Linked DNA regions of Caenorhabditis elegans. The protein of the gene in region 2 purifies or fractionates together with the protein of the main gene of each other region. This does not show direct contact. Each region holds a gene or a part of one and is shown on either strand. Other genes may lie near its edges.

Evidence for each region. The genes of interacting proteins can lie anywhere in the genome.
Region 1: the proteins of ncr-2 (region 2) and nas-15 fractionate together in Caenorhabditis elegans (co-fractionation; one large-scale study listed by BioGRID). This does not show direct contact.

What each region holds. Positions count from the first base shown.
Region 1 is NC_003284.9:775,686-779,440, reverse strand, and holds the start of nas-15 (Zinc metalloproteinase nas-15), read right to left. Parts: upstream 1,721-3,755; 5' UTR 1,708-1,720; coding exon 1,603-1,707; intron 1,532-1,602; coding exon 1,367-1,531; intron 1,321-1,366; coding exon 1,172-1,320; intron 961-1,171; coding exon 824-960; intron 776-823; coding exon 407-775; intron 350-406; coding exon 173-349; intron 121-172; coding exon 1-120. UniProt on the Caenorhabditis elegans protein: Metalloprotease.
Region 2 is NC_003281.10:8,256,202-8,259,956, forward strand, and holds the start of ncr-2 (NPC intracellular cholesterol transporter 1 homolog 2), read left to right. Parts: upstream 1-2,143; coding exon 2,144-2,294; intron 2,295-2,517; coding exon 2,518-3,008; intron 3,009-3,069; coding exon 3,070-3,192; intron 3,193-3,323; coding exon 3,324-3,536; intron 3,537-3,584; coding exon 3,585-3,751; intron 3,752-3,755. Other genes in the region: F09G8.5 (leucine-rich repeat domain-containing protein), read left to right, coding at 180-308, 356-638, 1,040-1,142, 1,187-1,384. UniProt on the Caenorhabditis elegans protein: Involved in the uptake or utilization of cholesterol. Ncr-1 and ncr-2 act redundantly to prevent dauer larva formation under favorable growth conditions, and are required for the normal functioning of ADF, ASI and ASG neurons.

The DNA.
Region 1 (3,755 bases), on a different chromosome or scaffold from region 2:
TAGTCGCAGCTTGGGTCGTAGTTTGGACATATGGCTTCTGAGTTTCCTTGGTTGGAATGCACATTCCACATGAAATTGGGCAGTTGGCACGCATCCAACCTGGATTTCTGATGCACCATCCTGAAAAAAAAACACATTTTCAGGTTTTTTTCAAAGTTTATTTTCAGCGAACCTTGTTTAGCAAGGTCATCACAATCTCCTCTAAGATTTCTGCACTCGCTTGGCTTCAATGGGACGGCTGGGGAAACTGTTTGAATGACTGGCGGCTTTCCGGTTGTTATAACAACTGGCTTCACAGTGATAACGATTGGTCCCGATGTTGGAGCGGAGGTGGTTGGTTTTTCTCCTTCTGAAAATGTTACATTTAACTTCTTGAATAAGTTAATGAGAATTGATGTAAACATACCAACTGGACATCCATAAAGAGTGTTGATCTTAAATTTGTCAACTTTTGAGAACCCATTTCTCTGTCCAATAGTGGCTCCATTCTTCTTAGGAATCATAGTTGGTTGTCCATTTCTCGAGAAAGCCTTTGTTCCATAATGCATAATACTTCCGTAATCATAACCAGTACCCAATGACTGAATAGTCCCGTGGCCGTACTTCTCGAACTGTCCCTGCATTCCTGCTTGAATATTGTTCCACATAATTGTGATATGATCGTCACGATCAGTTCGGGATTGTTCGTGGAAAAAACCAACGGCGTGCATCAACTCGTGAAGAATGATTCCTTTTTGAATACAACCAGAACCAAGTGATAGCGATTGCTTTCCTCCTTAACAGTTTGTGATTAGTCGCTAAGAAATATATTTCTAGTTCATACCCATCTTTCCCACCATCGAGTAACATCCTCTGTCTGGGTAGATGTGGACGTAGTTGACATCAGCTGCCTCTTTTGGAACCCATCTGATGCAAGTATGTGATGCATACTCTTGCATAGACGCAGCTATCAGAGAACGACTGCAAAAAATAAATTGTTGATCTTTGTTGTTTGATTTTCAAGTTTCTGGACAATCTCTCAAACTGTACTCCACAAAAGGCGCGCATCAAATTTCATGTTTTCTCTGTGATTGTTTGCTCTTTGCTAATACAAAAAAGTACCAATAGAATTGTCTGGCTTGACCGGATGCGACACTTGAAAAGATCGTCTTATGATCTTAGAAATACGAACCTGTAAGAGCTGTATTGAGACGAAATCGTGTATGGGATTCTGCCCTCTGGCCAAAGTTGAAGTCGGTTTTTGATAGCGTTATACCACTTTCCGTCTTCAGACTTTCCGGAGCCACCATTCGCAAAAAGCTCAGCAGTAGAAGCATTGAGCTGGAAACAAAAATTTTTTATCGGATCCTTTAAGGAAAGAACTAACATTATCATTAGCGATATCTCCTTCAAATCTGTCTTTGCTGTACATGGCATCCGAATCCCAGATGTCGTCGCCGTTGTCGTGAGCCATTGCAGCGGTGATGCGAGTTCCGAGCTCAAAGTCTTCTGGGGTGAGCACAGTTTCATATTCAGAGTGGGAACGGTCAAACTGGAAAATCAGTAAAATTAAAATTTAAAAAATTTTTCAGAATAATAAGCTATCAGCAACAACCAACTTACAAAGTTTTCATCGTTCAGAGGTGGCAGCTCTGGTGGAATATCATATGGACCCAAGATGGCTGCAAAAACTGGGGCTACTAGAAATATCAGCACGTATTCTCTCATTGTGCACCGATACCTGGAAGAAAAAGAAAAAGTATTGCAAATGCATGATTCAATACAAGTGAGGAAATAGGAAGAATGAAAACACAATAAAAATGAAAGGAATATGCTCAGCGAGCACTGGACAGGCAGATCGAACCTTCAGGAAAACAGAGAAATGGCACTGAACAAACATTTGTTCGCCCTTTTTATATTTCTAAGCGTGATGAGAAGAAACGAAATCCGAGGGCTAAGAACGAAATTTAAATTGAATCAACTGTTCAAGATGACCACCATGTTCGGTTCGCGCAAAAGGAGCCGCCTAATAAAGGGGGAAAGGGTGAGCAATGAATGAGAGTCCCCCTTTGATTCTCCGGTTTTTTGCTCTTTTTCCAGTTTTTCTGGTCTCTAGCCATTATCGTAGCACCCCGCTGTCCGTCTCGGTGTGTGTGTGTGTGTGTGTGTGTGTGTGTGTTTGTTTTGAAATGAGCCAACAAAAAAGTGCGTTTCGCAGTGGTCACTACACCTGGACGAACAATTGTTGACGGACGACGGGGAGGAAGGACACTGCCAAATAGATGAAAAAACTTGGGAAACACAACGGAAAATCCGTGTCGTCTAAGGTTTGCCCGGAGGTTTTTTTTCGGCCATTTTTTAATGTCTAGGCAGTCTAGGTAGGTTTCTAGGCAGGTAGGTTTTAATGTCTAGGTACAGTGTAGTTTTAACATATTTTAGCTAAATTGGTATCTATTTTTTTGCTCTACATATATTTGCATATCTCAGTTTGAAAAAGTTCACATTTTATAAAACCATTTAAAAATTGAGAAGTATTTTTGAAACTAGTAAAATTTACTGAAAATAACTTAAAAAGGATAGTGCCAGAGTATCCCATTATGGTTTGATCTACGTAGATCTACAAAAAATGCGGGTAATGATACGCAGAGGTCTCACCTGATTTTGCATGGTGTACAAGTGCTGACGTCACATTTTTCTGAGCGAAACATTCCCGCATTTTTCGTAGATCAAACCGTAATAGGACAGCCTGACACCACGTGGGATAGGAGATAACAAGAAAATTTTTAATGCGGTTTACTTAAGAAAAATTATTTTATTTATGAATTGAAAGTGCTTGCTGAAAGAATTTTAGTAATAGTCTCTAGAATCGAAACATTTGCAATCTTAGTTTTGCTTTAAAGAACGAGAACATTACAAAACCGCATACTGTTTATAGATACTAGTGGTATCTCAAAAAACAAATATTTGTCAGTTTAGTATTAATATAATTCAAAATTAAATTACATTTTTTAAATAATATACATGTTTTAAATAAAAGCATCATAAGAACTAAGATGTGGCTCTATTATAATATTTGTTACAAATGATAGATAACTTCTAGTATTTCAAATTGAAAAAAAAACGTTCACCAGAAATAAATAAATTGATAAGATGCGGCTCCTGGACCTTCAGATAATGCAAGAATGAACGGTGAGTGCCACTTTTTAGCTTGCTCAATGAAGGAGGCACAAGGATAAGGTAGTCTTATGGGCGGTCCGCACTTCATGTCATGTCTATATTTGGTAGGCTAGTTGCTCCGGGTGGAAAATAAAGAACATGGCGTGTCGAACTGCGCGCCGGGTCGCGAGGATGAGCCTCCATTTTCTCTATTCTCCGGCTCGGTTATCAGTCTAATCACTCGAAATCACGATTCACTGCCCGTCTTTGGGTCACCACGGACTAGCAACTAAAAAACACACATATGTCGTCGCTATCGTCGCTGCTCGACCCCCCGAGTGATTGGAAGTGACAGGAAGAAACTACAGATAACGCGAGGGAAGAGAGAAGCGTTGCTGCGCGGCAAAAAAAAGCCAAGACATGGATGCACTTTTAAAGATTCTTTTGATCTTTCCACTTTTTATATTTTATGATTTTTTAGAATTTTAGAAAAAACCCGAAACTAAAAAATAAATCAACTTCATTCAAGAATAAGGATGAAGTAGTTGATTTGCAAATACAAACTTAGCAAGAGATTTTAAGTACTCCTGGTCATAAGTGAAAGTATAATTAATTCGGAA
Region 2 (3,755 bases):
TCAAATTTAAAAATGTCCAGCTTTGGCGAAGTTCCGAATTTAGGAAATGTTTGGTTTTTTTAAAAAGAATTTTAGATCAGTTTCGCATATTTCAACCTTTTCAATGTATCCAAATATTAAAACCGAAAATGACCTCGAAAGCTGAAGCTCTCCAAAAACTTTAAACTTCAGTTTTTCAGCTGTAACGACAACTGATCATCAGGAAGCCATTGAGGACAGTATTCCAGAATGTGATATGCATAATTCTCATTACAGTGCAAGATCGAACAGATCGAATAGTATTGATTTGATGAGTAGATCTCTCTATGGTGAGTGTCTGTTTGTTTAATGTTTAATCGTCTTTCTTGTATTACAGTAGGCCCAACAGTAGTCGATAGAATTGTTCAACCTCAACTTCTACACTTTGGGGATACTTCAGATGAAGAAAGAACAACATATCCAGCTAGATCATTTTCTGTAGAAGTTCCCGGTTTACCGCTTACAGAAGATCATACAACTGTCTATTTGGATAGTGCTCCACAATCTCACATAGGGTCAAGACACAATTTGATGTCTCAATCTATGTATGGAACACTTTGTGGCACGTTAGCAGAGGAACCAAGTTCAGCTGATGGAGAAGATGATTGGAATGATTTTAGGTATTATTCTGTTTGAAAACTTTTATTATTTTCGTGATCTTTTCAAAAGTGGAGTATGAGAAATTTTGAGAAATGCATTGCTGCCCTAACATGTTCGAATACAAATATTTAAAACATTATAAAAATATAAAAATCACAGAAAAATAATTTAGATTGGTACAATGTATATCTGTACTTTTTTGAGTAGATATAAACCTTTTTTGTTCCTTTTCTAGCTCAATTTTCCAAACACAAAAGTGGTCTCTACCAACCGTTAGGCATGTAGATAGGCCGACGGGCATGAGGTAGGTGTGTTTGACAATGTGCCTACCTACATGGGACCCAAAAAAAACCAAAAAAAAAACGAATCAAAAAACAAAATTTGACTTTAATTTAAATCAATATACATTCTATATTTTTAGCATAGAAGAAGATCGAGTTATGGTTCAAATGCCTCTAGCAGCTTCTCACAGAATGTACCAAAGTATGCATGAGGGAATGGTTATAGAAATGAAACGACCACCTGTAAGTGATTTCCTTTGCTTAATGTGAGCATAAAGTATCTTCAGGTATACGGTAGAAGTGTGAGCATGCCACGCCGGCGAGCAACAAATCTCACAACGCGAGCAAGTTCAATGAGCCCCGCAAGAGAGCAGAGACTCACAAAGATAATGTCAGCAGTTTCGGTTTTACTTGATGAACTTGACACTGATGGTCTTCGGCAGGTTGTTGATGAAGCACAGAGAAGACTCAAGAAGCAAAGATAATTTCACATTATTGTTGAAATAGAAGTTTATGGATTCTATAAATATTTGATTCTTGAAAATTTTCACGAATTGTAAGAAAACTGTTTTAAAACAAACCAATCTGCACAATCCTTTCCCTTTGAACATAAAAGTTTAATAAAAACTACAGAAAAAATTAATTATGAAAAGAACGTTTAATGAAATTTGATTCTTTAAAAAATAAAGTGTGATTAGAAATACAACTTGAAATGTTTCCCTTCTTTACAGACTGAATTCCCATGAAACATATTGCATCTATTGTATATAAAGGTCAAGAAACAATTGTTTCTTTCATTTTAGCTTCATTTCAGCTCCCTCCGATAAGTTTTTCATATGCTACTTCGTTTCATTCTACAGACATAGATCGAGAAAAAAACAGTGCATTTGTCTGTGACTTGTAAACAACGTGACTCACGAGCCTTGTCTCGCGCGTACAAGCAGGAAATACAACATATGTGAATTGTGAATCTAATTGAATCAAATTTATGAGATTTTTTATTTTTATTTTCTTCTTTATTCTATCTTTTTGTGTTCTGCTATAATGTACAGTTCGTAAAAGTAGTTACGTGGAAATTAAATTAATTCTAGGTCACGCGATTCGTGTTCCACAAAACACCACATTTCTCAGCAACTTTCAATCACGTGTTGTCCCTGTCTTTTTATTTTTTATAAATTTAATGTTTGTCTTATAATTTAATTAATCTGATTTAGTATTTAATATTAAATTTCTACATTTCCGGAATGCGTCAAGGAGGAGGAGGAGGCGAGAGAATGGTATCTGTCCTATTCTTATTGCTAATACATTTGGCATTGTGCCAAGCAAAATGTGTGATGACGGAATGTGACGGAGAGGAGGATAGCAACCATCCACCATGCAAGACTAACAAGTCAAGTGAGTTTTTTAGATTTTAGATTTTTCTGTCTTTTGAGTAACTGGAGCCTAGTTGGCAACATCCACTTTTCGTTGTGGAACTTTTTTTTTCAACTTAAGCCCAAATTTGATTCAATATCTTATGGTTTTAGGGAGCTTCAGTAAGTGTGGTGAGTGGTGTAGACTAGGACTTTGAAATAATTTCTAATATTACCGAAAAATGCCTTTAATTAATTTTTTCCAGCATATCTACCAATCACCGTGACACGGTCTCTAAATCCAACTTATATGGCTCGATTCGAAAAGTACTGCTCGTATCTTGTACAGGAAGAGGATAAAGCTCAAGTCTGCTGTACAGAACTGCAATTAAAAGGAATGACTGATCGAATTTCTAATGCTGCTACAATCCTTGGATCTTGTCCCAGTTGCTTCGACAATTTTGCAAAACTCTGGTGTCAATTCACTTGTTCCCCAGATCAATCAAAATTCATGAAGGTAATGGAAACGACTGGTCCGAAAAATGTCGTGGTTAAAATGGAGTTCAAAGTGAATCGAGATTTTGTGGAGGGATTGTACGAGTCATGCCGTCATACGTGGTTTGCCAATGGACTTGCTCTTCGATTGATGTCTCTTGGTGGAAAAGTCTCTTTTGAAAACTTTTATGGATTTATGGGAACGAAGAATCTTGCACAGAGTATTCCAATAAACACCGAGTTTCAGTTTTCTCGAATGAAAGTTAGTCGTTCAAAAAAAAGAAAAAGAAAAGAAGAGTATTTAGTAACGCAGTTGGTTTCAGAACGCAATGAATATTCCAACAACACCATGTCACAAATCAGCTGGCCCCAAAGTTCCAGCTTGTGGAGCTATTGATTGTCCAACAAATGCCCATCAACTTGTAGATATCTCCAAAGTTGAACATGTAAGTAGTGAATCAATTCAGCATATTTAAAGGTTATCAAAGCCTTTCCGTTTCCTCACTCACTCCGTCGGAATGCATAGAGGCGCACTTTGATTCCTCAACCGGATCAAGTGTTATAAAGTAATTTTCAGCTCGGAACGAAAGTGTTCCATCCTCACTTCCCAGACTTTGAATGGTTACTGAAAATCTGCGGATGCCTCGCACTTACAGTCCTCCTGGTCTTCATTCTTAAATATTCTTGTCATAGACGATCAGCGCCTAATGGTGAAGATGGATGTTACGTGGATTTGGGAAAAGGAAATTTGGAAGTTCAATTTGAAGGACTTTGTGCTCGATATGCAAATGTTAGTTAGATCCCCCTAGTAATACAAATAAATTCCAGTAATTGTCAGGCTGTAATTAAACATCCATTGATATTTGTTTCACTTGGACTTATTGTAGCTGCAGCTTGTTGCTCTGGAAATTTCAAATTTCACAGTCTCACGCATTCAGTTGATCAAGTTTCGGCTGCCGATGGAGAAACTAGACGGAACGAGAAAAAATTCATCCATTCTTTCGGGTTA